Linked DNA regions of Arabidopsis thaliana. The protein of the gene in region 1 interacts with the protein of each later gene in a biochemical or structural test. Each region holds a gene or a part of one and is shown in the gene's direction. Other genes may lie near its edges. The genes, in order: CLV3, BAM1, BAM2 and CLV1.

Region 1 (5,801 bases):
CTGCAATTCCACACTAGTGCGTGCTTAATCCAACCGTAGATTTTCAAAGTTTTAAATTGCTTTTTTAGCTTAATTTTTCTAATATATGCTTGCTCTTTTTAGGATGCCACATGAAGTTGATCTATGGTGAGGGTGGCGATTAAACTTCTCATAAGGAGAAGTAAGGAAAATAAACTCAGCTAAAATCTTATACTATCATACAAATTTTAGATTTCAAATAAAATATTTAAGTAGATTAGTTTGAGAAGAAAGTCAAATGGCTTATTTATAAGAACAAAAAAAATAGCTCGAAAAAATGATTAAATTTTTGCTTTGAATTGTGACGCTTGCTCCATCATATGTTTGTTAGCTCATTGCATTTGGCTATGCATTGATAAAAGTTCATGAAGATGTGAGATACTAAATTCTCGCTCGGTAATACATAAGCTTCAACTCTAGCTAGGGTTCGTTTACCATACAATTATGATAATCCTTCATTGGTATATCTTTTTCTTTTATTTACTTTTTTCATCCACAAACTACATTAACACTCTATATTCTCCTCCAAATATCAAAACTATTGATGCCAGTTTTTTCGAACACACTCATATGTTAGGTGCTTCAGTTTTAAAGTTTCTAATAACAAAACTCTTAGATGTGCATGTACATGTGGGAGAAATGAAAGTGTGCAAGTAATGGTGCTCATTATTGACGTGAAACTTGTCCTTAAATTTCAAAGAATTCTACGATTTTTTTTTGTATTTGTTGATCAATAAGATTTTTTTGGTTCCAACTCTATAAAATTCATTTACTATTACACTCGCATAAATTACGATGATATTATGAAATGTATTAAGACTCTAACAGTTTAACAGTTAACGACAAAAATATCTACTATTGTAAATTTAAATCTTTCTTTCCAACTAAATTGCATATTTTCGGTTCCGGTATAATGAAGGCCTAAAATCATAAGCTATATTAATCACATGGAAGAATTAAATAAAGAAACCTGATCGATATGGCAGTAGAAAGAAGTCAAAAGATTTGGATTTTGGATTGCAACTTTTTTCTTATTGGTTTATATAATTAACAAACTAGTTGATATATATTATATGCTGCAGAATCTTACCTCCTTTTTTACATAGTTTACACTTTTTGTGTGCAGCTCTCAACTCAAGTAGGTTAATTAGACATATAACCAATGAACGTAATAATATTTAAAACTTAGAATTGACCTTTATGAATTCATCAATCAGTCTCTTGTCGCTTAACGTTACACTCGTCTTTTCTGGTTACTACTCTCTTCCCTCTCATTGCATTTTCCAGGCTGTTTCATCTTTCTTTGACATCACTGTATCGGTAACGATTCGACGACATCAATAAATATATTGTTGGCCAACGAAAAATAGACATGAGTAATAATTTAATATAATACTTACCAGTAAGTTTACAATAATTTTGATTGTCTTCTGATCTAATAAATTGTTGGCCAAAAAAAGACCTAATAAATTCGTGGACTTGGAGTTGATGCAGATCTTTAGCAGTATGGTGGTGTTGAATTCAATCTTTTTGGTCCGAATGTCTTTAAAATTGTTCTTGATATTCATATCCATAAAATTAATCGAATTCCGGATTATCCATAATAAAAACAAAACTAGATACATTTTCTAAGTACATTAACACATAAGAATATCATTTTTGTACTACCAAAAAAAAAGTAAAAACTTATGTCCATGGTATTATTATAATTGGTGGTAAATCAGTAAATTAGTTGTTAGCAAAAAAATAAAATTTAGTTAAAAAGTAGTGGCACCTTATTGGCCCAAAAGAGTAACGAAGCAAAACGGAATCTGAAAACTGTTAAAACTTAAAAGAATAGATAATTGAGATATAATATCGTATGATCGGACGGCTGTGATCTGATGCCATCGGATGGGCACGTGTCAGAAGTGTACTCCAGGTATCATTCTCTCTGCCTCATGACATCAGCCGATGGTACCCTCGATACGGCGCCGGCAAGGCTCATATAATCCATTCAATTTATGTTTTTTCTGCTAGCAAATAGATTTGCCATTGATTTGATACTCTCAATAATATTATCCGATTAAGGTATCATCCATATTGTTCAATATAATTTAAGCATATAACTGTTTCCAGATTAAACAATATAATTTATAAGAGCAACTGTAATACTTTACTTTAAAAGTTTTCAAATCAGAATCTCTTTTCTTTTTCTACAAATCTGGAAACAATTTAATCCATATTGTTTTTGTTTTTTTTACCTTCTCATATTTAGATGCTATTTATTATTGTGACACAAGCTTAGTTTAATTTCTTGTTGGTTACATTTTTTTTTCTAAATACACAAATATTATATGTTTAATATTATTTCACACATTTCTTAGAAGAAATCTAAATACATGAAATTATATTTATTAAAAAGAAGTCTAAACTATATATGTATTTAAATGGAATTTTAAATATGGGTAGTAATATAGAAACACCATTGATATATTAGAGTATGTGCCGGTGCCGTATACATACTGTTGTATTATAGTAACCTATATATGGTATACCTAGTCAATGTGTACGGTATTTTTCATATGTATTAGTTGTGAACCTCCACAGCATGTTAGACTTAGGAATTAATTATAACTGAACCAGAACTTTGAGTCTAATTATACCCCTGCCGTTTTATACAACTTTGAATATTGATTCCAGTGGCTAATTTAAATAAGTTAAAGGAAACAAAAACTGCAAGTAAGTGAAAAATACACAATTGTAAGTAAATGTTAGATATTTAATTTATTTATAGCTAAATCATGAACAAGTTCGTATAAGATCTAGATATATGTACCATATACCTTTTCTATGCCCACTATATATACTTACTACACATAATATATAAACCAACCAAAATATTTGAATAGTTAATAACTATGATACACGTTTAGGACAAATAAAATTAAAAAATAGGAGATCCCATTTCTCGCCCTTGTAGGCTTACGCTATAAATTGGACTGTCCCCTTCTCATTTCATTACCAAAGTAAAGAACAGTTTCTATATTTCTCTCTTTATCTCTCTCACTCAGTCACTTTCTCTCTAAAAATGGATTCGAAGAGTTTTCTGCTACTACTACTACTCTTCTGCTTCTTGTTCCTTCATGATGCTTCTGGTCTCACTCTCTCTTTCACTCCTCTATATGTCTATAACTCATGTAAATGGATTCTTATAAGTCTCAACATAACTTTTTTTTGTTATTTACTATTTCACCAGATCTCACTCAAGCTCATGCTCACGTTCAAGGACTTTCCAACCGCAAGGTTATCTTCAACTTGTACTCATTAAGGCCTCTCAATATTCATGTGTTATGTTCATGTAGATGTCCGGTCCAGTTCAACAACTGTTTCATTGCTTTAGTTGTCACGAGAAATATTTGTATATATTATTATGGTGTGCAAAACATAGTAAAATGTTGTTCAATTGGCAGATGATGATGATGAAAATGGAAAGTGAATGGGTTGGAGCAAATGGAGAAGCAGAGAAGGCAAAGACGAAGGGTTTAGGACTACATGAAGAGTTAAGGACTGTTCCTTCGGGACCTGACCCGTTGCACCATCATGTGAACCCACCAAGACAGCCAAGAAACAACTTTCAGCTCCCTTGACCTAATCTCTTGTTGCTTTAAATTATTTCATATTGTAAATTACTTTCTGCTTTATCGGTTTTACCATTTCGGGAGTCTTTTTTGTGTGCAATCTGTTTCGTTTGGTAAGCTTGTAGTTTCATGAAAGTGAATGTAAGATATGCATTACGTTTGTTGCTGAAGTGAATGTAAGATACGCACTATTATATCTCATGATTTTCTAAGAAAACCCTCTTAAAACGAAGATGTCTATAGCATTACGTTTCTATTTCCATATAATACGTTAAAATTTATGGTTTTTACGTATAAAATGCAAAATAAAGACACAAGTATATCTCCAAAGCAATGTACCGTTGGGAAAATTTATTAGTACGTTTTCAATTGTCAATGCAAATAATTAATGGATGTGATAGTCACAATTAAACATACAATAATAAAAATGATGATGATGATTCGATGATGTGGTGGGAAGGATAAATTAAACCGACTTTGGGGCAGTGACAGGCAGTGTCAGTGTCAAAGACAACCATTTGTAGTCACTATTTCTATCGAAGGTTGCAAATTGAATGGTGGAGGAGTATCAAAACGACACACATACTTGAAAAGATATTTTAATAATATAAAAAAATTGGTGATGGCGTAATAACAAACCTAGAGCTAATTATTATCCTTAATGATACCAAATCTATATGATACGATATTTGTTTTAAAAAGAGTAAAGACTGACACTTGAGATGTGACACTGGCGATTTCGCTCACGTCACCACTTTTCCCACCTCAAATAACGCTTACGGCTTTATCCATTAATTCTAAGTATAATTTTAAGTGTATTTTTTCTTGCCAAATTCAAATATATCTTACTAAATGGATGAACATTATAAAATTGTTATCAAAACCATTAAATGTTCTTATAATTTCTTTCGTTCCTCCAATGTCATCCCAAGACTTTTTGACCTAATATATGATATATCTAACTTGCTTTGGAATCGTATGACATATATCTTCAAATACATATTTCGTATTTTTTTTTCACGAAAACTAATTTAGAAAGTAGAAAACCAGCTATTTTAAAGAAAATAAAGTGTGTTTATATATATTCTAAAACAATGCTATAAGAACATAAGACCAAGATATATACAATGTTATTTTATATTTATTATTAAGCATTAACATTGAAATTAAAAATATTAAACATGTATACCAAAGTAATCAACATTGTAGTTATTACTACTCTCTCTGTTCATTTTTGTTTGATTGTTTAGAAAAAACACACATATTAAGAAAACATATTAAATATTGATTATAAATGTATTATTTTTAATGTTTTACAGTTTTCTATAACTTTAAACCAATGATAATTAACTATTTTTTTAAAAAATTACCATTCACCTATACTAACCAATAAAGATTACATAGAAAACTAAAAAAATTAATCTTTTAAAAACAAATTTTTTTTCTAAACAATCAAACAAAAAGGAACAGAGGGGGAATATTATTTTAATTTAATTTAGATTACCATTGTAGTTAGTAATTGATCAGATAATATGGATAGGCTTAGGCATTCGAATTTTCTGGTTAGTTTACGTCGACTAATTAGGAGTTTTGGGTTTTTGGGTTGGGGGACCAAATGAATATCTTATTGGATCAGTACGATTCCTATTTGGGTTCAGACCTGTTATCAAAATTTATGTGAAACCCAACGTGGGACCAAAATATTTTTCAGTTCAGGTTTCAAATCCAAAGTACTAGGAAAAACAAATCCCAAAAAAGAACTCAAAATAATCATGTACTGTATATATAGTGTTTCGGGTTTTATGGGTATATATTTGGTTTTGGATTTTTTTGAGTATCTTCTCGGAATTTAGATTCTAACTTAACTAATCTGAGACCCAAAAAATAATAATTTATAATCCGTTTGGGTAATATACCTACCTGAAACCAAATGAACGCTCGGATTTTTGGGTTTCTTCTTTTATATCCAAGCCTAAATATGTGTATGAAATATAGGTAATTCGAATATATAAAATCAGTATCTGAATGACTAAGAATCAAATTCATGTTTGGTAATTTGTATACCTACATAGCTACATATAATATTTTAAATTTTACATTCTTGAGATTTAGTTTTTACATGATCCGCTTCGCCAAATATGTTTCCTCCATTCGAAACTAAAG
Region 2 (8,870 bases), on another chromosome or scaffold:
AGAAAGAAAGAAATAGAGAGAGTTTTGATTTGTCTCTCAAGGAAGAATTAGAAGAAGCGTTGTTGAGACTGCGTGAGAGCGTCTCTCATCTATTTATTTATAAGGGGAGCAAAGAGGTTCAAAAGAAACAAGGAAATTGCTAATCACAATTAACAACGGTCACAATCACATAATATTTGACAAGATAAACTTAACGGTCACATAATATTTGACAAGAAACACTTAACGGTCACATAAAGATTTCCTTTTTTCCTTGGATGGCTTTTCATGAGTTTGTTTCCTTTGTTTGTTAGTTGTTACTGTGAGAGAATCTGATGAGTTTAATTAAAGTGAAGAATTCACTCATTGCATGATCCGATCCTCAAAAGTATGTATACTAACCACAACAATCATGATTGTCCATCAAATTTGTCTTTTTTTAATGTTCTTTTGTCAAGCGGCCCACAAACCCACCAGCTTGCCCCAATAAGCATCATCACAGGGCGGGCTTGAACTCTACATATGTCCATAAAATATCGGGCTTGCGGGTTGGCCCGCGAAACAAATAGAATTTGATGGAACCTTCTGCTTCGTCTAGAGGATCTCAAACTACTACAGTACTCTAATTTTCAACTAAACCTAAAACTCTTCAGACTTCAGAGGATTTCATACCAAAATTTCGATTCTAAGTTAAATTGTTACCATCCTGTTCATACATTCATCAATTTTTCAATGTGGTATCATCCTTTTCTTTCTAGTGTAAATCTGTTTTGATTGATTCTAGCTTTCATTAGTTGTCTATTGGATGTAGAAGGTGCGATACTGTTGTAAAAGAGACACAAACTCAATCTGACACCATTAGGTATAAGTAAATCCTGCAAATGGAAAGTGACTTACGAGTGGTAATAAATATAATGTTCAGAACATGTTTCCTCTCTAATTCTCTCTGTTTTCCCAATATTTAAAATACAGTTTCGCAAGTATTGAAAGTGTTTTAAAAAGTGATCATACATAGTAAGAGTAACTCGTAGAGAGAGATAAGTTATGGGAACTGACTGTATCAAATTAGTTGGACCATGTTTTATGTCCGTGATGGTCGGACTCAGAAACAGAGTGGTGATGTGAAGATGACATGTTTATGGTCCCATTTTCACTTTTATTGGGTCGTGTTTCACCTTTCAAATGAACCACTAGAAAATTGAAGCAACTTTTTTTTTTCAAACCAAAGGAAAAAAGATGACTTTGTTAAGACCTTTGTCTTGGTTTTTTTTGCTTCATCAAGCGTCGCTTTCGCAACATGTTCTCTCTATTATTACATGATTTCAAAACAAGCAAAACATATCACTGCCTAATTCTTAACTTTGTGCTTCAGTCTTTCCATAAATAATAGTTAACTTTCAAATTCCTAAATGTACTAAAATCAACTATGGTTGTTGAGCTTTATTATTCTTCCGTTTAATCTTGGTTCGAAAGAAAAAAGATATGGTATAATCATTCCATTCATATACGTATTACTAATCATAGTTATCTTTTTGGTGAGTAAAGAGATTTGAATCAAGATTGTGTGTTGGTAATAAGAATCCTTATAGAGATGTGCATTTAAGGAGACAGAAAGGAACACAGCACGAGACGATGCGGTTAGAGAATAAACAAAACAAAAAGAAACTTGGTAATGGATACAACGTGATTCCATCGTTAAACAACTTTGCTTTTGGCTTTGGATTCTTCTCTATTTTAACTCTTAACCCAATGTTATCTCATTATCCTTCATCTCAATCTATTTTTCTATTTACTTAAATTTGAGTTTTCAAGACACTTTTTAAAAAAATGAAAAAGGGTTAGAAATAGAGAAGAGAGTAAGAAAGAAGTGTAAAATCAAATAAACGAATCTCATTAAGCACCTACTTCCCACATCTTTCTTAAAGTTTCTTACATAAAGCTCCCTTCACACGTGCTTACCAAATCAGATTGTCAATAATTCTTGCTCAATAATTTTTCGAAATTTATTTGAATTTATCTAATAAAAATACATTGTTTGAGTATGATATTTTGCTTAAGAAGGTTGATTATTCTCCCTATCAAAGTCTAAAAAGAAGATTACAAAACAATTGTATGGTTAAATTCATATAAATTTGTGACTAGTATTTTAATATTTACATATATACAAATACTTATAGATGAAACGAGAATGCAGAAATGATTATAGATAGATCAGTGACAGTGAACTGTAGCAACCGGCAAAGAAACCTCGTTAGCTGGACACACGATTACGATCATGCCCCCAGTCTCCTCTGTCCAGACGGCTGCATTAATAACAACGAGCTAGAGGGTGTTTTCGTCTTTTCGATACTTATCCCAAAACCGACAATCTCTGGTTTGGACTCGAAGGCTGATTTGGTCAATTCATAGCAACCGAACGAGCAGTCCATTCAAGTCCAAAGAGCTCCTTAGTGGTAAAAGATGTAATTACGTAGATGTTCCATGGTCAAGAATGTATTCAGTCAAAATAAATATTTGACCAAAACTTTCGGTTAATTTCCTACCACCAGCAAAATTATAACTTTTTCTAATAATTATCAATCATTTTCAATCTCTTTTAATTTTCTTTTTCACTTTTTTTTATTAATTAAAGTCAATTCACACTATACAAAAAGAAGGAAGTCTAAATATTTTTTTACTTTCATGTTGCTTTTCTAACTTTTATATTTTGCTCTTCTCAACAGATTTTGCTGGTTTTTGTATTAGAAATATTATTATGTTTCCAGAAATGAATTTTTTATATGTCGTCTGGATTCGTATATATATATTGGAAAGTGAAATTAATTCATTTGATTTTTTTCTTTGATATATCGACCAAATCAAATAAATACGACCCCATTGTGGCATTGTTAATGCAAAAAGGCACAAGTACAAAAAAAACATAATAATTCACTATTTTATTTACAGACACATGGGCCCAATTCATACGGCCCAATTACCATAAACCTCTCTTTTAAAGAGTGGGTTCCACAGTGGTAAACTTTTTGACTATCCATTGGAATGATTGCATCTGGACCGTTCATCTACATTAATTATTGGGTTTTTTCGCTTTAAAGCATCAATTAACTTATTACGTATAGGATTAGATTACCAATAACGATCTTTTTAGCTTTTGTCGTTTTCCGATAAAACCATACGATTAAGAATATGACCTCTTGTATCTTTTGAGGGATTTTAGTTAATCTTTCTACATTTATTTTGTTGGATGCTCATACAATTATCCTGTGTCTCTCAAAATAAAACAAAAATTACTCTATTTATTAGTACATTACACATGATTATTTAGAAAATGTATATTGTGGTCATATGAAATGAGAAATTAAAGGAAATTTGTCAATACTTGAGAACATCACCATTCAAATGTTTCAAGAACAACATGACTCCAAAACAAAATAAATGAACCTTTCCCTAATAATAGTATATTCTCCATCGTACAAAGTTCTAAATAATACAATATTCATTTCGTCAAAGCATATGATGTGTTGGAATCAGAATTATCTGCAAATGTTTGAATTTCAAATGTTAGTATCAGGCTATTTTTACTGTTTTATCAAATATCGTTTCTTCTGCAATCTATCACTTGATTGTTTTATCAAATCAGCACTAGTATTATTGATTTTGTAATTTGTGTTTGTCTACCTCCAATTACTTTTTAGTGTTATGATTAGTAATGTAATAAAATCACAAATCTGACGTGGCACCTATATACAATTCCAAAAACAAGTGGAACGAATATAAAACAAATTCACACCTTCCTCATCTTCTTCTTCGTCTTCACTTACCTTCTCTCTACACTCACACCATCTCACAACCCTAATCTCTCCCACACAAGAGAGATAGAGAGAAACAATGAAACTTTTTCTTCTCCTTCTTTTTCTTCTCCACATTTCTCATACCTTCACCGCAAGCCGACCAATCTCCGAGTTCCGTGCTCTCCTCTCACTCAAAACCTCTCTCACCGGCGCCGGAGATGACAAAAACTCGCCTCTCTCTTCCTGGAAAGTCTCAACAAGCTTCTGTACATGGATTGGTGTCACGTGCGATGTATCTCGCCGTCACGTGACTTCTCTTGATCTCTCCGGTCTCAACCTCTCCGGTACTCTTTCCCCAGATGTTTCTCATTTACGTCTTCTTCAGAATCTATCACTCGCTGAAAATCTAATCTCCGGTCCGATTCCGCCGGAAATCTCGAGCCTTTCCGGTCTTCGTCACTTAAATCTCTCGAACAATGTCTTCAACGGTTCGTTTCCCGATGAGATTTCTTCTGGATTGGTGAATCTCCGAGTTCTTGATGTCTACAACAACAATCTAACCGGAGATTTACCGGTTTCCGTCACCAATCTGACTCAGCTCCGGCACCTTCACCTCGGTGGTAACTACTTCGCTGGAAAGATCCCGCCTTCGTACGGAAGCTGGCCAGTTATTGAGTATCTAGCGGTTTCCGGCAACGAGCTTGTCGGGAAAATCCCTCCAGAGATCGGAAACCTAACGACTCTCCGGGAGCTTTACATCGGCTACTACAACGCTTTCGAAGACGGTCTTCCTCCAGAGATCGGAAATCTATCGGAGCTAGTCAGATTCGACGGAGCTAATTGCGGATTAACCGGTGAGATTCCGCCGGAGATTGGGAAGCTTCAGAAACTCGATACGCTTTTCTTGCAAGTGAATGTCTTCTCCGGTCCATTAACTTGGGAGCTAGGAACGCTATCGAGTTTAAAATCAATGGATTTGTCTAACAACATGTTCACCGGAGAGATTCCAGCGAGTTTCGCAGAGTTGAAGAATCTCACGCTTTTGAATCTCTTCCGTAACAAACTTCACGGCGAGATACCGGAGTTCATCGGAGATTTGCCGGAGCTTGAAGTGTTACAGCTTTGGGAGAACAATTTCACCGGAAGCATCCCGCAGAAATTAGGAGAAAACGGTAAACTAAATCTCGTCGATCTCTCTTCCAATAAGCTGACCGGAACTTTACCGCCGAACATGTGCTCCGGTAACAAGTTAGAAACTTTAATCACTCTTGGAAACTTTCTCTTTGGTTCAATCCCTGATTCTCTTGGTAAATGTGAGTCTTTGACCCGGATCCGAATGGGTGAGAATTTCCTGAACGGGTCAATCCCAAAAGGACTATTCGGATTACCCAAATTAACTCAAGTGGAGCTCCAAGATAATTATCTCTCCGGAGAGTTACCAGTCGCCGGAGGTGTCTCTGTTAATCTTGGTCAGATCAGTTTATCAAACAACCAGCTCTCAGGTCCATTACCTCCGGCGATCGGGAACTTCACCGGCGTTCAGAAACTTCTTCTTGATGGAAACAAGTTCCAAGGTCCTATTCCTTCAGAGGTAGGGAAGCTTCAGCAGCTCTCGAAGATTGATTTCAGCCACAACTTGTTCTCCGGTCGAATCGCGCCGGAGATTAGTCGTTGCAAGCTCTTAACGTTTGTTGATCTGAGCAGAAACGAGCTCTCCGGTGAAATCCCAAATGAGATCACTGCTATGAAGATATTGAATTACTTGAACCTGTCGAGAAACCATCTGGTTGGATCAATCCCTGGTTCAATCTCGTCAATGCAGAGCTTAACATCTCTTGATTTCTCTTACAACAACCTCTCCGGTTTAGTTCCGGGAACAGGACAATTCAGTTACTTCAACTACACATCGTTCTTGGGTAATCCTGATCTCTGTGGTCCTTATCTTGGTCCTTGTAAAGACGGTGTTGCTAAAGGAGGTCACCAGAGTCATAGTAAAGGACCTTTATCAGCTTCTATGAAGTTATTGCTTGTTCTTGGACTACTTGTTTGTTCGATTGCGTTCGCGGTAGTAGCCATAATCAAAGCTAGATCATTGAAAAAGGCGAGTGAGTCACGGGCTTGGAGGTTAACAGCTTTCCAGAGACTAGACTTCACGTGTGACGATGTCTTGGATTCTCTCAAAGAAGACAACATTATAGGCAAAGGAGGAGCTGGTATTGTCTATAAAGGCGTAATGCCTAATGGTGATCTAGTCGCGGTTAAAAGACTCGCTGCAATGTCTCGTGGATCTTCCCATGATCACGGCTTCAACGCAGAGATTCAAACCTTAGGAAGGATAAGACACAGACACATAGTGAGGCTTCTCGGATTTTGCTCAAACCACGAGACGAATCTACTTGTCTATGAGTACATGCCTAATGGTAGTCTCGGTGAGGTGCTTCACGGTAAGAAAGGAGGACACTTGCATTGGGACACACGTTACAAGATTGCTCTTGAAGCTGCTAAAGGACTCTGTTACCTTCATCACGATTGTTCTCCATTGATCGTTCACAGAGATGTCAAATCAAACAACATCCTCCTTGATTCAAACTTTGAAGCTCATGTTGCTGACTTTGGTCTCGCTAAATTCCTTCAAGATTCCGGTACTTCTGAATGTATGTCTGCAATCGCTGGCTCTTACGGCTACATAGCTCCAGGTACTAAAATCTTCAAAAAAAGTTTCTAACTTTACAATCTCTTGCTCTGTTTTTCTCTTTAAAGTTTCTAACTTTACTATCTTTTGCTCTGTTTTGGTGTTTGTGTAGAGTATGCGTATACGTTGAAGGTAGATGAGAAGAGCGATGTGTATAGTTTCGGTGTGGTTCTTTTGGAACTCGTCACCGGAAGAAAACCTGTCGGAGAATTTGGAGACGGTGTCGATATAGTGCAATGGGTTCGTAAAATGACTGATTCGAACAAGGATTCGGTTCTGAAAGTATTGGATCCGAGACTTTCTTCGATTCCGATTCATGAAGTGACGCACGTCTTCTATGTAGCGATGCTCTGTGTAGAAGAACAAGCTGTTGAGAGGCCGACTATGAGAGAAGTTGTTCAGATTCTCACTGAGATCCCGAAGTTGCCACCGTCGAAGGATCAGCCGATGACGGAATCAGCGCCGGAGAGTGAGCTTTCGCCGAAGTCTGGTGTTCAAAGTCCGCCGGATCTACTCAATCTATGAGAGTTTTCTGATTCACGGCGGTTAATTTAGGGTACCGGTATAAGGGGTAAATTTGTCTTTTCATAAATGTTATTAGCGATGAGATTTGGTTGTTAATTTACTTTAATCCCTCTTAGTACGGTTTGTGCTTTGGTCCGGTTTAGTAGGTTTTTTTTTGAAAGAAGGTTGTTTAAACTCTTTTTAAGTGTGTTTCATTTTCCTTTTTTATGTTTTTAATCGGTATTCGGCTTTATTTAGTTTGTAATTTGTGTTAATGAAAATGTACAGTTGGTTTTTTTTTGAAGGAATTTCAAAATATCTTGAAAAGAGTGAAATGTGTAATGTGAACACTCTTGCATGTCTTGCTATAGAGTCACGCATCTGCAACTGATATGAACGATCACCTTCTTTATTGTTTTTAGGTATTTGACTTTGTTACAAAGATTCAAATGTAGCTACTAACACCTGCAATAACCTGAAAGAAATTTCATCAAACAGAAATTATATTTGATCTCCATCAACAAGATGTTTGAGAGCGGTTAAAGTTGTGGTTGCGTTTGCGTTTGGTGAAAATGTTAACTTGGAAGAATAATTAAAGAGGAAGCATGTGAGAGGTCAAAGGTATAAATGTGGTGGGGAGATAATGATTGGTTTTGAGTTAATATGAGAAGCCTATAAGGTGATATTTCTCCCACATGCAAAATATATACCAAAGTCTTTAAGTCTTTAATGATTTTGATGAGATCTCTTCTCTATTCCCTGCTCATGAAGCAATTTCTACTCTATGTAAAGCATTTATGATTTCATCGATCACTCATAAATATAAGCCACACCCAACTTACATTAATATGGTTTTCATTTGGCTGTACGTAGTTTCCAATGATGATTGTAGATCTAAGTCTAGGTTTTAATGAGAAAATTGGACCAAACAAACAAAATTGTAGCTATCTTCGTGTTTGTTCACATTTTGGAGATAACAGCCTAACTAGATCATGGGCTAAGTGTTAGCTTTGATAGGGATTCTCACGTAACTCTATGATAACATATTGCACTAAAATGTGATTTAGTTCACTCACTAAGTTAGTGACATTTCCAAAAAGTGTCATCCACTTAGCAAATTCCGTTGCTATGTTTATGATTCTTTCATTACTATACTCCAAGCAAGAATTTGACGAGTGATACTGCAATTTTATCTTTTTCATAAACGTAACGTTTATTTCACAAACAAACAAAAAGTGTTTTTGTAATTTCCTTGATGCACACATCAATTGCGTGTGTGTTCACGATTTCATCACATATACAACAACTATTTTCCATTTCACTGTGCGTCCATGGGATATTCATGTTCGATGGATCATAAAGGTAAAAGACTCAGGAAAAACAATAGTTAATGTCATTTCATATCAGCTTTATATTCTCACATTATGCGTAATTTCCGGACAAAAGAAAGCTATTAATTAGAAACTTTTTTTATCTCAAAGAATTTTCGTCTGTGACAACTCATAAGCACTGAAAATTAGACTACTCCAATTTTCTAACTCAATTTACTCTGTGTCTATGCTATAGACCTATCAGTTATGTAGCACATATAAATATCAATCCAAACATTTTAATTGGTAAGTTTTAGGGGTGAAAATGCCACGTGGAATTTATGATTGTGATGTGACAGAGACACGTAGAAAGAAGAAGGAGTGCACTGTGTTTTGAATGGGTCCGTTTTGTCTTTATCTTGGCCTTCATTGTTTTCCCCGACATAGTTATGTCCCATCCCTCGTAGTTGCTAAAGAGAATCCTTACACCAAGGTAAATTACAATAACAAAATTTAGAAATTTAAATTTATCAATTGATCTGATATGTGAAATGCAGTTTGTATACATTTGGTATTAGCCGCTCAATTTTCTTA
Region 3 (8,636 bases), on another chromosome or scaffold:
GTGTGTTAATAGAAGTTTGATGTAGGAGAAGCCAATCCAAAGCTATTTTTGCAAAAATTGTTATCTAGTTAAGGAAAAGTTGATAGCTTTGGAACAGTTCTGTTATTGATCGAGATTCAACACTTTTGAAGGGTCGTATTTAGAGGGTTGTAAGATACATCTTCTTTTGGTGTTTGCGTCTATAGGGTATTGTTGAATAAAGGAATTCTCATGATTCGTTATAAATTTGCAGAGGTTGTGGAACATTTCGTCTGCTAAGTTCCTCAAAACATACACTGGCCACGTGAACGCACAGTATTGCATTTCCTCTGCGTTCTCCGTCACAAATGGAAAGCGAATAGTCAGTGGATCCGAGGACAACTGTGTACACATGTGGGAGCTAAACTCCAAGAAACTGCTACAGAAACTTGAGGGTCATACTGAGACCGTCATGAACGTAGCATGCCACCCGACAGAGAACTTGATCGCATCAGGCTCGCTCGACAAGACAGTAAGGATTTGGACACAGAAGAAAGAATAAATCATCACTCTCTCTCTTCAGAAATCAAACATGTAGGTACATGCCACCTTCTTCATGCAGTAATCATCTGTTGCTTACTAAGCTTGTTAGATTGATTCTAGCCTCATTATGTAAAAGTCTAATTTTTGTTTGGTGTAAGGGAAGTGCAACAGACTGTTCTAAACTTGTAATAGTTCTCTGTGTGACTCAGAACTATTTAGGTAGGTCTTAAGGCAAAGACTCCTGCAAGTGCAAAGGCATTTGAGAGAATGAACACAAATCTTCATAGGTTTACCCTTTACTCATTGTATCTATTAAGCTGATGCAATGCTTCACCAATACTATTGGTTATAAAGTAGTTTCAGGATTGAAAATTGTTCATCTGAACCATATTGATGGGTGGCTCATGGGTCAAAGTACAGATATATGACTATAAGTAGATAATGTATGGTAGTTGGTTACTTTGGTTGGCCATGATGATGAAGCTTATGGTCCCCTGGTCCTGTCCCATTTTTTACTTTTCATTTTCACTTTTATCGTAAAGTCTTCTTTTTTTTAAACCCTACAAGATTTTGAAATGGACCACTTGAAAATTTGAACCCACTCTCTCTTTTTTTGTTTTCAATTTCGAAACCAAAATTTTTTAACAAAAAGATGACTTTGTGACCTTTGTTCTGTCTTTTAGCTACACACCAGTGGGCTGTTTGCTTTTACAGCGTGTCTTTCTGTTTACATGATTCAAGAGAAAGCAACAGTTCCTAAAGACTCAGTCATGTTTGTGTCTCTCCCAATTGATACAAAGACCAAAATTCAGCTTTGGTTCTTTTGTGTAAAAGTTCTCGAGATATGCTAATAAGATTAAACATAAAAACTCTCAAAAAGAGTATAAATTGAATTCTTTATGATTGTAGTAGCAAACAATAATTGTTAGGTTTAGTGCTATCATAATAATCTATTAGTCAGGTTAAATATATTCGATTTGGTACCAAATACGAAATCAAGCTTCAACAAACGAATCTGCAATACACACACACCCATCCAAAAGTATATCTTCGACATTTTCCCCAAAAAAGTATACATTTCCTAACACGTGCTTACCAATTCTTATCATTCGAAGTAAACCATTAAACAAGAAATGTTTTCATTATTATAAATTTTTCACTAATATAAGTTTATTATTTAGTGCAAGAAAGTGCGTTGCAGATGAAAACTTATTCTATTGATCCGGGTCCATAAAGAAGAAAACAAAAATTCACCTAATACGAGTACGACTTATTCTAGTGGCTACATATTTCCCTAATCATGTGACTAAAAATCTGCTTTCAAAATTTTGACATTCAGTATTTCTTTAGATCTATATCATTAAAAATTCATTTTTTTCTTTTGCATTTTGATTCCATATTTAATACAAGATTAAAAAAAAAAAAACTAATATGTTTGTTCACTGAGCAAACCATTATTGTTGATCAGTGAACTGTGGTAACTGGCAAAAGAAGCAAATGATTCGAAATCCTACTTTCTTACAAAATCAAATTGGATAATTTTGTGAGATAATAAAAAATCAGTATAAATAAAATAAAATACATGTCGGGAAACCATTATTGTTGATCAGTGAACTGTGGTAACTGGCAAAAGATGAAAATGATGCACATAGGACTGTGTTTAACTGACTTACTTCCACTAATCAAAAGTACGATCGTATCCCTACCCATCTCTCGAGGATCTTAACTGTTGCCGTGCGTCATCTCAAGGTTGTTCTCGTCATTATCAGTCGATCAGAGTACAGAGACCGGCTCTCTGGGTTTTGTCGATCATGCCATTGCCTTGGGGCTTGTTGTTGTGGTCCGTCCTAAGGATAGAAATGTTATTACAAAGCTTTTTAAGGGGTTCTTTGGTTAATTAAGTGTTTCGTTTTGCTTAAGAGAGGTTAAAGAAGCGGGTGTCTCAATAAGTTTTGGTAAGTTTGTGAATCCCCAGTGGTGGACTCCATCTTTTCCCGTCGAATTATAACATCAGGACCGTTCATTTCAACATCATCAATTAATTCATTATGGGGTTTATCTTTAAAACATCTTTTTGAATTTATGGTTCGCTTTGGTATTGCATTATTACACTTGTATACCTGTGTAATAAAGTGTTGGATTTTGTCAAGATTAGGTAACATCACGTTTCAAAACAACAAGGCTCCAAATTAATTAACATTTTCTTCATGTAATTATCGTTTTTGAATCCCTTCCTTTCTAATTCCATGTTTCATTAAATCCACCACATGCATATGTTTCTATATATGTTAAATAAACGACTTTTCAAGTTTTTAATTTGTGTTTTCTATTTTCAGAAAATTTATGTGAAATCAAAGTTTCTTAAAAATCTCCCTCCAAGTAAATTCCAAAATAAAATAAAAATAATACTTTTACAATATACAAATAAAACTCATAAAAAACACACACACAATCTTCATCTTCCTCACTTACTCTCACCCTTTTTAAAACCAAACCCTAACTTACACAGAAAGAGAAGAAAAAAAACAAAAAAAAAATGAAGCTTCTTCTTCTCCTCCTCCTCCTCCTTCTCCTCCACATTTCTCATTCCTTCACCGTCGCTAAACCAATCACCGAGCTCCACGCTCTTCTCTCACTCAAATCCTCCTTCACCATCGACGAACACTCACCTCTCCTGACCTCATGGAACCTTTCAACAACTTTCTGTTCATGGACCGGTGTCACGTGCGACGTCTCTCTCCGTCACGTGACCTCTCTCGACCTCTCAGGTCTTAACCTCTCCGGAACTCTCTCCTCCGACGTAGCTCATTTACCTCTGCTACAGAATCTATCACTCGCTGCTAATCAGATCTCAGGTCCTATTCCGCCGCAAATCTCCAATCTCTATGAGCTTCGTCACCTCAATCTCTCCAATAATGTCTTCAACGGTTCATTTCCCGATGAACTCTCCTCTGGATTGGTGAATCTCCGTGTTCTTGACTTATACAACAACAATTTAACCGGAGATTTACCGGTTTCACTCACTAATCTCACTCAGCTCCGTCATCTTCACCTCGGTGGGAATTACTTCTCCGGCAAAATCCCGGCGACGTACGGAACCTGGCCTGTTCTCGAATACTTAGCGGTTTCCGGTAACGAGCTAACCGGTAAAATCCCTCCGGAGATCGGAAACCTAACGACTCTTCGTGAACTTTACATCGGATATTACAACGCTTTTGAAAATGGTCTTCCACCGGAGATTGGAAATTTATCAGAGCTTGTTCGGTTCGACGCTGCTAATTGTGGTTTAACCGGAGAGATTCCACCGGAGATTGGGAAGCTTCAGAAGCTAGATACGTTGTTTCTTCAAGTAAACGCATTTACAGGGACAATAACTCAAGAGCTGGGATTGATTTCAAGCTTGAAATCGATGGATCTGTCTAACAATATGTTTACCGGCGAGATTCCGACGAGTTTTTCACAGCTGAAGAACTTAACGCTTTTGAATCTCTTCAGGAATAAGCTCTACGGTGCTATACCTGAGTTCATCGGTGAAATGCCGGAGCTTGAAGTGTTGCAGCTTTGGGAGAACAATTTCACTGGTAGTATTCCTCAGAAATTGGGGGAAAATGGTAGATTAGTGATTCTTGATCTCTCTTCGAACAAACTCACCGGAACTCTGCCGCCGAATATGTGTTCTGGTAACCGGTTAATGACGTTAATCACTCTTGGCAACTTCTTGTTTGGTTCAATACCGGATTCGCTTGGTAAATGTGAGTCTCTGACCCGGATCCGGATGGGTGAGAATTTCCTTAACGGGTCGATTCCAAAGGAGCTCTTCGGGTTACCTAAATTATCTCAAGTGGAGCTCCAAGACAATTACCTTACCGGAGAGTTGCCAATAAGCGGAGGAGGAGTCTCTGGTGACCTTGGTCAGATTAGTCTTTCTAATAACCAGCTCTCTGGTTCATTACCTGCAGCTATTGGAAACTTGTCCGGTGTTCAAAAACTACTTCTTGATGGTAACAAGTTCTCTGGTTCGATTCCTCCCGAGATTGGGAGGCTTCAGCAGCTATCTAAGTTGGATTTTAGCCACAATCTGTTCTCCGGTCGGATCGCACCGGAGATCAGTCGTTGTAAGCTGCTAACGTTTGTTGATCTTAGCCGTAATGAGCTCTCAGGTGATATTCCTAATGAACTCACAGGTATGAAGATCTTGAATTACTTGAATCTTTCAAGAAACCATCTCGTTGGTTCCATACCTGTGACGATAGCATCAATGCAGAGTTTGACATCGGTTGATTTCTCTTACAACAATCTCTCCGGTTTAGTTCCCAGCACTGGACAGTTTAGTTACTTCAATTACACATCGTTTGTGGGTAACTCTCATCTTTGTGGTCCGTATTTGGGTCCTTGCGGCAAAGGAACTCACCAGTCTCATGTCAAACCTTTATCTGCTACTACGAAACTGTTACTCGTCCTTGGATTGCTCTTTTGTTCGATGGTGTTTGCTATAGTGGCCATAATCAAAGCTCGGTCCTTGCGAAATGCGAGTGAAGCCAAGGCATGGAGATTGACTGCTTTCCAGAGGCTAGACTTCACTTGTGACGATGTCTTGGACTCTCTCAAGGAAGACAACATCATCGGTAAAGGCGGTGCTGGGATTGTCTACAAAGGCACTATGCCTAAAGGCGACCTAGTCGCGGTCAAACGATTGGCTACAATGTCCCATGGATCTTCCCACGATCACGGGTTCAACGCCGAGATTCAGACGCTAGGTAGAATCAGACACAGACACATCGTGAGACTGCTCGGTTTTTGCTCCAACCACGAAACGAATCTCCTTGTGTACGAGTACATGCCTAATGGTAGCCTTGGAGAGGTTCTTCATGGAAAGAAAGGAGGTCATTTACATTGGAACACACGTTATAAGATAGCTCTTGAAGCAGCCAAGGGTCTTTGCTATCTCCACCATGATTGTTCCCCGTTGATCGTCCATAGAGATGTTAAATCCAACAACATCCTCCTCGATTCCAACTTCGAAGCTCATGTCGCCGACTTTGGTCTCGCCAAGTTCCTCCAAGATTCCGGTACTTCTGAATGTATGTCCGCAATTGCCGGCTCCTACGGCTACATAGCTCCAGGTAACAAATTTGCAGAAAATGGCATTTAATCAAACACTTGGTGGTGAAATGTAAAATCTCTGAACTTGTTTGTTCCTTGTTGAGCAGAGTACGCGTATACATTGAAGGTAGATGAGAAGAGCGATGTGTATAGTTTCGGTGTTGTTCTTCTAGAACTCATCACCGGGAAAAAACCCGTCGGAGAATTTGGCGACGGCGTTGATATTGTTCAATGGGTGAGAAGCATGACGGATTCAAATAAAGATTGTGTGCTCAAAGTAATCGATCTTAGACTCTCTTCAGTTCCAGTTCACGAGGTAACACACGTCTTCTACGTTGCGTTGCTCTGCGTTGAAGAACAAGCGGTGGAGAGGCCGACGATGCGTGAAGTCGTTCAGATTCTCACTGAGATCCCAAAAATTCCTCTTTCGAAGCAGCAAGCGGCGGAATCAGACGTGACTGAGAAAGCTCCGGCGATTAATGAATCGTCGCCGGATTCAGGAAGTCCACCGGATCTTTTAAGTAATTAGACTTTCCGGCGATTGGGTTTGGTCATTGAGGGGCAAATTTGTCTTTCTAATTTTCTTGTCACCGACGTCTCGGTAGTGGAGTTAATTACTTAATTAGCCCGTTGTTGTCTGGTTCCGGTTAAGGCAACAATTAGTGGTTTAACTCTTAAGGTTGTTGCATTTCTTTTTTCACTGCTGCCACAATTATTCGTGTAGGAATTTTGAATATGTACATTGCGGTTGAATTTTGCATGATAAGTGGTTAATTTCAGGAAATCGAATTTCGAGAACATTATGGCTTATGCATATCAGCATATATATACATGCAGTTATGTATATGATCAATCTGCCCCCGGTTCAAGTATGTCAATTGTGTTAGACCAAAAAACACTTTTGCCCCTTATATTCTTAAGAACTTCATTTAGTTTCATACTCAAGCAAAAACTAATTTTTTAGAGTTTTCGTTGTCTTAAAATGAAACTAGTGTCTCCATTATGCTGGAATCTTGCTTATGAGTTGTTACATTACATATTTTATTCTCACCTTTGCTTTTACCCTTTTGGATTGTATCTGGTTGTGGTAGCTGTTGTGTCACAACAAGACATTCCATGTGAAAAAAACACAGAGAGGGTGAAACCAAGGTATGAATGTGTTTGTGTGGGACTGAAGATGAGTAACGCTGAGAAGAGAGAAAGTGAAAGCTCACTCACAATTTGTCCAATTATTGCAAATGTATGGGTAGTGTGACACTAGTGTCTTAATGAATTCAGATGGTCCTAAGATCTTTTTTCCACTCTATTCCCTTGTCTTGAAGCAAAAATCTAATTTTAGACGAAGCATTTATGACATCTCCCTCTCATTAATTACAAGCCATATATTCAACTTTGATTTTGACTCATCAATATCAAAAAATCTTTAGACTTTAGGTGTTGTTGCTATCCTTGGTATCTAGTACTTTCTTCGATAACCATGACTATTATATTGAGATAAGAAAGATATAAAGAACAATAAGAATATTAGTTATGATATTTTAGATGTATTATGTTCAAAATTTCTTACGTTCGAATGTACATTGATGATCTTGTAAACCTAATTAAGGAGTGCCTAACTCTAGAATTAATAAGTCAGGAGTTAGTTATCAAGAAACTAGAAAGACTTGAAGATGGATTAAAGTGGTAATTAATGTTTTTCAGAGGCCAAGATTCTAATTAAGAGATGGGAAATGGCATGTTCCATTCTCTAGCTTCATATATACACTTATCGGGTGAAACTACCAGATTACGAATAGCCATTAGATGACTAACAATTGAATTCAATTTAAATCATCCAAAGATATATTTTATATATTGAGATTCTTTCTTCATCTCAAACTTCTAAGTTCTAACATAGTCATGTAGTTGAACTTTCGGGCCGAGGCCCATAACAACTCCATCTACTTAAACGAAGGTTAGATAAAGGGACGAACAAAAAGAATCAGTCTGGTGTCAGAAACTAGAGTATGTACTTTTGTGTTTGAATTGTAACGTTTGTTTCTTTCTTCAGCTCTTCATTGGTTTATCGACACAGTACTTATGTCACTCCAATTGTGAGAAAATCATTCTGCACAGTCGTTTCGAAATCAAGGAAATCAAACAAGAGCAACAACAATCCAAAGAGTACCAAAATATATTTGGCTATAGAGAGCTATCATTGTCTTGTACACTTGTCCATGTTGGGCTATAGATCCATATTTGTGTTGGGCTAGGCTCAGTTTTTCTTAATAACACAAACTTACTTATCAAACACGTGTTGTCTTTTTGGTTATTTAAGTAGTTGACAAACAAAAGTACAAATAAGCTGTTAGGGCAAAGGAGCAAAAACGAAACCACAGAGAGAAAGCCTCCGTCTCCCTTATCAAAGAAGAAGAAGACGTGTATAACAAAACACTAGACACATTGTGAAGATAGAAAAAAATGGAGAGAGCAGCAATTCTCCCGAGTGTTAATCAAAATTACCTACTTTGTCCTTCACGCGCCTTCTCCACGCGCCTCCACTCCTCTACTCGTAACTTATCGCCGCCGTCATTTGCCTCCATCAAGGTCAACTCTTTTCTCATCTCCCTCTCTTATCATCTTCTGATTTATCTGACCCATTTCTCCGATTATCTTTCACAGCTTCAGCATTCTTCTTCCTCTGTTTCTTCTAATGGTGGAATCTCTCTTACTCGATGCAACGCTGTTTCGTCCAATTCTTCCAGGTTCGTTCTTTGTTTTTGGTGGGTATTTGTCCAAGTTCTCAGGTTCTTACTTATATATATGTATTGTTTATGTTGAATTAGTACGTTGGTAACTGAATTAGCCGACATAGATTGGGATACCGTTGGATTTGGGCTTAAGCCAGCTGATTATATGTATGTGATGAAATGTAACATTGATGGAGAGTTCTCAAAAGGTGAGTTGCAACGTTTTGGGAATATTGAAATTAGCCCATCTGCTGGTGTACTCAACTATGGACAGGTTTGTTTTCTTAGTTTTCTTCAAAGTCA
Region 4 (8,791 bases), on another chromosome or scaffold:
CATTGAAACAAGTTAGGAATCGATCCAATATGAGGCTCTGCAAAAACAATTCAGGAAAAGATTCTGCAAAAACAATTTAGGAGAATGAGTGAAATCGCAGGGGCAATTTCGTCAATTTATTTCCCAAAAACTGCCTATCTTCATAAACTCAATCATAATGTGCTCTTTCTCTAATTTATGGCCCAAAATGTACCCAATATTATAAAAGCCCCCACAATTAAGCACCAAAGAGTTTTGGTACATTAACTTGGGAGGAAACAGAGACACTTGTTAACTGGTAAGGCAACATTTCAAATTCCATATCTTGTTCTCTCAAGTCCAATGCATTTATCCTTGCACGCTTGATTGTTTAAACCATTTAGATTAATGGGTTGGCATTGGTCACGCTGATCCAATGTTTCAAATGGGTAAGTGAATGTTGATTGCCGACGTGACTGAAGACCCAAGGCCCAACGACCTACTGGTCCAGGTTGACTATGAACAAAAGAACTAGATTTTTTTTTCCCCTACATTTTAAAGAAAATACTTGATGAAGATGTGGTGCCTTTTCATAAGATCTAAAAAGTTTCAAATCTTTACGATGGAACAAAAAGTGAAAGGTGAAGTAAGGGTCATTTGGGATTGAGAAGTTTCTTCGTCCAAAATCATTGCATGAGTTGAATAGATTTGGGATTAAAGCTGCCAATACAAGAGGATTCGGTAATGACTGAAGCAAAAGCCCAGCAGGGCCATTAGGCAAACACCAGTTTCCAAGACGGATTTGTGTAAGACCACTTATGACACAAGTTTGTCTTCACTATCATCATCTTCTTCTTCTACTTCTACTACTACTTTTGTAGCCTTGTCGTTTTTATCATTAACATGATTGACAAGACTATGACCTATATATCTTATTATTATCATTGCTCTCTCTATTTGTTTATATTGATTATTACTTTTTGAGATTTTTCAATGGTTTTATCTCTAACTAAACATTATAATTAGTGAAACAAGCTTAGTAGAAGTAAAAGTATTATTCTATGCTAAAGTACATTGATTAGTAGAGTGTGTAATTGTGTATACAGATAATCTATAAACAATTGGTGCATCTGTATATAAAACTTTATGATTTATTTATTGTATTTAATAAGTATATGAATTGGGTACCTAACTTTCTAAACAGTTCCAAATTTATTCTTAAATCAAATTGCATATGATTTTTAAATATTTTGAGACGATTTTATTATAACGCAAACAACAGAGTAAAAGAAGCATATGTTGCAAATTGTACTATGGCAAGTTCAAATCGAAACATTTTTGTGAAAATCAAACATGTGAACCAAGCTTCTACAGTTTAATTCCCTTTCGTATAATTTAATTTCAACAAATTTATTGATATCCATCTAGAAATTGGTCCAAAGTTCTTTCACCCTTGAGTCATTTAGTGATAAAGATGACATGATTTTTGGTGATAAATTTTCCATCGTTGCTATATGTCGTTATATTATTCTCCTATATGTATATTATACTATTTACATCAGAAAATAATCCAAAGTTTAGAGATTCTTTTTTACAATAATAAAATTTCCCACTTACTAAAAAGAGCTCCTTTTCTGCTGAAGAGAACCTAAACCTTTATTCCCAAAGTTCATTGAGTTAGAGCATTTTCAGCGAATCACATAAGAGATGCTCTCTTCTTCATCACTAATTGACATCTCATTGTTTTAAAGGTTGCACTTGTACCTGTTGATCTGATTCTCAATCCACTTAAGTTAAACCAAATAGACACGAGAAAAAAGCACATTTATTTGTTGCTAAGTATGCATATTTTTCAGCGTTTACTTCTTAATCTAATGTATATCATAAGATAATATCTAAAAGAGAATGCACAAAAGATTATTAATATGAGAAATTCGCTGCCATTTAGGAAGGACCTTTATACCAATATACCGCAATAATAATAGAACATTGGTCCCCAAGTGTATGTCAACCCCAAGTGTATAGATTTCTTTAAAGATTAAAATCCCTTTTTGTTGCTAAAGCACCTGATATATTTTTCTATCAAACTAAAAAAATTGTTAGCGGGATGAAGATATATTCGCCAAGAACCATAGTGCTTGTATAACGGCAGACCATTAATTCACAACTATTATTATTTTATTGTTAGATTGTTGATAGAATCGATTTTGATTGTGGCAGAATCGATCTTGTAAAAACTGCTTTAAGGTGCTTACTTATAATTAAGAAAGATTCACTTATGTAAGTTAAGCATATTAATCATATCATTCGGCCTAATTCATTAGGAATATTTTGCTATTCGTTTTGCCATCATTAACAACAAAATTGACACGTTTTCAGCCAAAAGTATTAACAACTAAACCTAAAACTTCAAACATTAAATAGTTTTTAGTATCTTTAGTTTCAAACTAGTGATTTGTCCTAATATCAACACTACGAACGAATTTATATACATTGAACTTTTTTCTGAATCACCGATTACAAAACGAATATAATTTGGTATCGGCAGTTGCTATTAATTTGATCGGTTTGGACTTTGGACTAATCACGATCAAATCTTAAATGGACCGAAGTGAATAAATCCCTAATGTTTTCAAGAGAGTCACACGAACGAAACAAAGGTAAAATATGAACATAGAGCGTGGGGACCTTGAAGCAGAAGGTCTGTATGGTGACAGACCGGTGAGTGGAGTGTATGAATGAACGAGAAGTGAGAAGACAAAATACAAGAAAGAGCGTTGACTTGGAAGTTAAAGCCAAAAAAACCACAAGGGGCAAATTTGTCTCTTTAGGAAAAGGACACAGACAGACTTTCTATACGGGCCAATTAGAAAAATAGGCCCTACTTCTAATTAAAGCCCATTTACTTCTCTCCTTGTCTTCTTATTCCTCTTTTCTCCCCATCACGTGACGACGATGCTATAAACGCCGTCGGATTATATAACTGGTGCCGTTGACAAGACGGCGACAGAAGAAAGAAAGAAGAAACCACAGGCTCTAGGGAACGTAACGTTATGTCCTGTCTATAGCATTTATAACGGTCAGATCAACGCCGTTTAGATAAAGATCTGTCAATGTTAAAGAAGAGATGCATCTCTACACCGTTAAATTTAAAACGCCGTGAACCTCTTATCTATTGATTTTTGTTTGATGAAGCCAAAACAAATCGTGTCAGAAGACTTATCAGAGAAGAAGAAAACGACGACGTTCCCGTTTCTCCATGTCTAATAAGTGTAGTAGTGGCGGCTACTAAAAACTCTAAAGTTTGACTCCAGTAAAACTGCCTTTCTAGTGTAATTCCAGTGATTTTAGAGTTTGAATAGTGTGTGACCAAATTTGAAAGTACAATCTCAGCAATATTATTGATCACTCGTTATAAAAGAATCGAATGTAAAAATAGCCAATGAGAGACTGAGACGTATGTGTTTGACCATAAGTCGTATAGTTTGTATCTATCTACCTGCAAGATCAGCAGATGGTTCTCTGATCAATTGTACCTTAATTATCTTTTATTTTCGTAAAATTTCTCTATTCACAAATGATAAATCTACTTAAGACAGTAACCATAACAAGATTTACAAGATAATTTGAAAAATGAACACATAAAAGTATTTTGGCGCATTATTTTTAATAATAACAATATTTATGTAAAGTCACATAAAAGTATATATTCGCTCACAAAGTCTTACGGTATTTAGAACAGTAGTACCACATCGATTCTCTTCATCTTCTTCTTCATAATATGCCATTGTTCATGTCTCTGTGTCCTATCGCATAACACTCACGCTATCTTATTATTTTCTCTCGCTCTTTCTCACTGAGAGGACACTAAAAAAATGGCGATGAGACTTTTGAAGACTCATCTTCTGTTTCTGCATCTGTATCTATTTTTCTCACCATGTTTCGCTTACACTGACATGGAAGTTCTTCTCAATCTCAAATCCTCCATGATTGGTCCTAAAGGACACGGTCTCCACGACTGGATTCACTCATCTTCTCCGGATGCTCACTGTTCTTTCTCCGGCGTCTCATGTGACGACGATGCTCGTGTTATCTCTCTCAACGTCTCCTTCACTCCTTTGTTTGGTACAATCTCACCAGAGATTGGGATGTTGACTCATTTGGTGAATCTAACTTTAGCTGCCAACAACTTCACCGGTGAATTACCATTGGAGATGAAGAGTCTAACTTCTCTCAAGGTTTTGAATATCTCCAACAATGGTAACCTTACTGGAACATTCCCTGGAGAGATTTTAAAAGCTATGGTTGATCTTGAAGTTCTTGACACTTATAACAACAATTTCAACGGTAAGTTACCACCGGAGATGTCAGAGCTTAAGAAGCTTAAATACCTCTCTTTCGGTGGAAATTTCTTCAGCGGAGAGATTCCAGAGAGTTATGGAGATATTCAAAGCTTAGAGTATCTTGGTCTCAACGGAGCTGGACTCTCCGGTAAATCTCCGGCGTTTCTTTCCCGCCTCAAGAACTTAAGAGAAATGTATATTGGCTACTACAACAGCTACACCGGTGGTGTTCCACCGGAGTTCGGTGGTTTAACAAAGCTTGAGATCCTCGACATGGCGAGCTGTACACTCACCGGAGAGATTCCGACGAGTTTAAGTAACCTGAAACATCTACATACTCTGTTTCTTCACATCAACAACTTAACCGGTCATATACCACCGGAGCTTTCCGGTTTAGTCAGCTTGAAATCTCTCGATTTATCAATCAATCAGTTAACCGGAGAAATCCCTCAAAGCTTCATCAATCTCGGAAACATTACTCTAATCAATCTCTTCAGAAACAATCTCTACGGACAAATACCAGAGGCCATCGGAGAATTACCAAAACTCGAAGTCTTCGAAGTATGGGAGAACAATTTCACGTTACAATTACCGGCGAATCTTGGCCGGAACGGGAATCTAATAAAGCTTGATGTCTCTGATAATCATCTCACCGGACTTATCCCCAAGGACTTATGCAGAGGTGAGAAATTAGAGATGTTAATTCTCTCTAACAACTTCTTCTTTGGTCCAATTCCAGAAGAGCTTGGTAAATGCAAATCCTTAACCAAAATCAGAATCGTTAAGAATCTTCTCAACGGCACTGTTCCGGCGGGGCTTTTCAATCTACCGTTAGTTACGATTATCGAACTCACTGATAATTTCTTCTCCGGTGAACTTCCGGTAACGATGTCCGGCGATGTTCTCGATCAGATTTACCTCTCTAACAACTGGTTTTCCGGCGAGATTCCACCTGCGATTGGTAATTTCCCCAATCTACAGACTCTATTCTTAGATCGGAACCGATTTCGCGGCAACATTCCGAGAGAAATCTTCGAATTGAAGCATTTATCGAGGATCAACACAAGTGCGAACAACATCACCGGCGGTATTCCAGATTCAATCTCTCGCTGCTCAACTTTAATCTCCGTCGATCTCAGCCGTAACCGAATCAACGGAGAAATCCCTAAAGGGATCAACAACGTGAAAAACTTAGGAACTCTAAATATCTCCGGTAATCAATTAACCGGTTCAATCCCTACCGGAATCGGAAACATGACGAGTTTAACAACTCTCGATCTCTCTTTCAACGATCTCTCCGGTAGAGTACCACTCGGTGGTCAATTCTTGGTGTTCAACGAAACTTCCTTCGCCGGAAACACTTACCTCTGTCTCCCTCACCGTGTCTCTTGTCCAACACGGCCAGGACAAACCTCCGATCACAATCACACGGCGTTGTTCTCACCGTCAAGGATCGTAATCACGGTTATCGCAGCGATCACCGGTTTGATCCTAATCAGTGTAGCGATTCGTCAGATGAATAAGAAGAAGAACCAGAAATCTCTCGCCTGGAAACTAACCGCCTTCCAGAAACTAGATTTCAAATCTGAAGACGTTCTCGAGTGTCTTAAAGAAGAGAACATAATCGGTAAAGGCGGAGCTGGAATTGTCTACCGTGGATCAATGCCAAACAACGTAGACGTCGCGATTAAACGACTCGTTGGCCGTGGGACCGGGAGGAGCGATCATGGATTCACGGCGGAGATTCAAACTTTGGGGAGAATCCGCCACCGTCACATAGTGAGACTTCTTGGTTACGTAGCGAACAAGGATACGAATCTCCTTCTTTATGAGTACATGCCTAATGGAAGCCTTGGAGAGCTTTTGCATGGATCTAAAGGTGGTCATCTTCAATGGGAGACGAGACATAGAGTAGCCGTGGAAGCTGCAAAGGGCTTGTGTTATCTTCACCATGATTGTTCACCATTGATCTTGCATAGAGATGTTAAGTCCAATAACATTCTTTTGGACTCTGATTTTGAAGCCCATGTTGCTGATTTTGGGCTTGCTAAGTTCTTAGTTGATGGTGCTGCTTCTGAGTGTATGTCTTCAATTGCTGGCTCTTATGGATACATCGCCCCAGGTTAGTTACATGTCAACAACATTAGTACTCACCAAAATGATATATGTTCTGATTATCATTTTGTTTTTGGTTTGCATAGAGTATGCATATACCTTGAAAGTGGACGAGAAGAGTGATGTGTATAGTTTCGGAGTGGTTTTGTTGGAGTTAATAGCTGGGAAGAAACCTGTTGGTGAATTTGGAGAAGGAGTGGATATAGTTAGGTGGGTGAGGAACACGGAAGAGGAGATAACTCAGCCATCGGATGCTGCTATTGTTGTTGCGATTGTTGACCCGAGGTTGACTGGTTACCCGTTGACAAGTGTGATTCATGTGTTCAAGATCGCAATGATGTGTGTGGAGGAAGAAGCCGCGGCAAGGCCTACGATGAGGGAAGTTGTGCACATGCTCACTAACCCTCCTAAATCCGTGGCGAACTTGATCGCGTTCTGACCCAAGCAAGATAAATATGAAAATAAGATGCGAAATGTGGTGATCATTTTTTGGGTGTTCTTATTTATGGTTTCTAATACTTTCGGGTTTGTATATTTGTTGTGTTTCAATTTGTATATTACCTCTTTATGTGTTATTATCTCGAGTATGTAATGTAATCAATATGCTTATTGCTTGATGGCTTTAAACTTTAGCTAATTCTCCGTTCAGAGTGTATAAAATAAAAGAATGTGAGAGCTTTGACCTCTGGATTTAAGTCTAGACTGTTTAGAATATGTGAATTAGGGTCATATCTAAATTCAGGTTTGTGTTAGCTTCCGACAGTGTCATGTTGCAATCTTGACCTTACTTACAAAGTATTTACCAGCAGATGGCTCGGAAAATAAAAAGGAAACACATCTGATAAAAAAAAACACGGAATCAACAGACTAATGGTTGATTAAGAGATTGGACTCGTACTCTGCATTTGGAATAATGACCAGTTTCATTGAGTTCTTGGGGGTCATTCACTTCTCATATTTTTACGAGCTAAGAAAATCACCTCAGGGTCATAACATTGTAGTTTCTGCTCTTGAAGCAAAACACACATAAACTAAGAAACCGGAAAAATTCACAGAAATCAACAACCAAGAAGCTTTAAAAGTTCATGAACAACAGAATTCAACCTCTATAATGTGCATTTTCCCACAAGATGAGGATGATGCTGTGAAGCTAATTCTATCCATAACTCTTACCTCCATTCATAGAGCAATTCAGAGAAGAAGACAAGGCACATAGTCACAACTTATAAACGGGTGTGAGAAGAAGACAAGGCAAATTAGTCACAAATTCATTAAGGTAGAGAAACAAGATCCTTCATTACTCTGTTTTAGTCTCTTCATTAAGAATCATATACAATTTAAATCACAAAACTTTCAAGGCCACAATCTTGATTAACTTGGAAAGACCTGAGTTTCATTCAGATTTAAACAACACTGCAGCTCTCAAAATTCAAAATCGATTGTATAAAGAAAACAAGAACATCTATCATCATCATAATCACTATCCGATTTTACAACATATCAATACAAACAAAAACCTCCCAGCTTACACGAAGAAGAACATCATTACCTTATTCCTTAACTCCGAACACATGTTATTTAGATTACTCTGTTTTAGTCTCTTCATTAAGAATCCCCCAAAATTCTCAATGCCACAATCCTCATTCAGTGGTAAGACTCGAGTATCAACATTCAAATTTGGATAACAGTGCAGCTCTTAAATTCAAAATCCATTTTTACTTTTAAAAACAAGAACATCATATCTATAATCATCACAATCACTATCCGATTTTACAACATATCAATACAAACAAAAACCTTCCAACTTACAAGAAGAAGAACACCATTACCTTATTCCTCATCATCATCTATTACACAGAAAATCTATGAGAAACGTATATATCTAACACATGTTATCTACTTCACAAAAGTCAAAATAAAGAGGGAAAATTCGAAGTTTATATACTCAGAAAGCACCGTAAGGTATATGTTGTGGAAGCCTAAATCGAACCTGTGAAGCCGGAGACCGAACCGCAACGCCGTGCCAGCAAATCCCTCCTTTACAAATCGCACCACCGTCGTGATGGTGACGGTGGTGGCTAAGATCTTCCTCACCACCAACACGATTGTACCGAGAAACCGCCTCCGCTGCTCTACGAGACACATCCCAAGCAAGCGTAACTGCAAGCAAAACACCAACTGCCGTAATCGAAACGACGACGACGAATCCAGCGCTGAAACTCCTCCCGGTGATTAATCCGTAGGCTTTAATCGCGATAATCACCGCCACGTAGATCGTCGCGAGATTCCCGAGAACCGCGTCGGATAACGCCATGAGACACATCTAGGACTTTACTTCTTCTTCACCGTCGCCGTGAAATTCGTTGCGGTGGAGG

The links.
Region 2: the proteins of CLV3 (region 1) and BAM1 interact in a test that uses a peptide from one of them, tested with the Arabidopsis thaliana proteins (one study listed by BioGRID).
Region 3: the proteins of CLV3 (region 1) and BAM2 interact in a test that uses a peptide from one of them, tested with the Arabidopsis thaliana proteins (one study listed by BioGRID).
Region 4: the proteins of CLV3 (region 1) and CLV1 interact in a test that uses a peptide from one of them, tested with the Arabidopsis thaliana proteins (3 studies listed by BioGRID, with this or other methods).

Annotation. Positions count from the first base shown.
Region 1 is NC_003071.7:11,663,032-11,668,832, reverse strand, and holds CLV3 (CLAVATA3), read left to right. Parts: upstream 1-3,035; 5' UTR 3,036-3,088; coding exon 3,089-3,155; exon of another isoform or gene 3,156-3,201; coding exon of another isoform or gene 3,202-3,256; coding exon 3,257-3,303; exon of another isoform or gene 3,304-3,362; coding exon of another isoform or gene 3,363-3,470; coding exon 3,471-3,647; 3' UTR 3,648-3,855; downstream 3,856-5,801. UniProt on the Arabidopsis thaliana protein: Extracellular signal that regulates meristem maintenance.
Region 2 is NC_003076.8:26,277,959-26,286,828, forward strand, and holds BAM1 (Leucine-rich receptor-like protein kinase family protein), read left to right. Parts: upstream 1-3,752; 5' UTR 3,753-3,867; coding exon 3,868-6,466; intron 6,467-6,574; coding exon 6,575-6,987; 3' UTR 6,988-7,007; exon of another isoform or gene 7,008-7,133; 3' UTR 7,134-7,455; downstream 7,456-8,870. UniProt on the Arabidopsis thaliana protein: Necessary for male gametophyte development, as well as ovule specification and function. Involved in cell-cell communication process required during early anther development, and regulating cell division and differentiation to organize cell layers.
Region 3 is NC_003074.8:18,414,704-18,423,339, forward strand, and holds BAM2 (Leucine-rich receptor-like protein kinase family protein), read left to right. Parts: upstream 1-2,864; 5' UTR 2,865-3,037; coding exon 3,038-5,624; intron 5,625-5,711; coding exon 5,712-6,133; 3' UTR 6,134-6,560; downstream 6,561-8,636. Other genes in the region: WDR5a (Transducin/WD40 repeat-like superfamily protein), read left to right, coding at 233-520; BCAT3 (branched-chain aminotransferase 3), read left to right, coding at 8,065-8,190, 8,266-8,348, 8,430-8,607. UniProt on the Arabidopsis thaliana protein: Necessary for male gametophyte development, as well as ovule specification and function. Involved in cell-cell communication process required during early anther development, and regulating cell division and differentiation to organize cell layers.
Region 4 is NC_003070.9:28,461,695-28,470,485, reverse strand, and holds CLV1 (Leucine-rich receptor-like protein kinase family protein), read left to right. Parts: upstream 1-3,514; 5' UTR 3,515-3,833; coding exon 3,834-6,423; intron 6,424-6,502; coding exon 6,503-6,855; 3' UTR 6,856-7,142; downstream 7,143-8,791. Other genes in the region: AT1G75810 (uncharacterized protein), read right to left, coding at 8,362-8,739.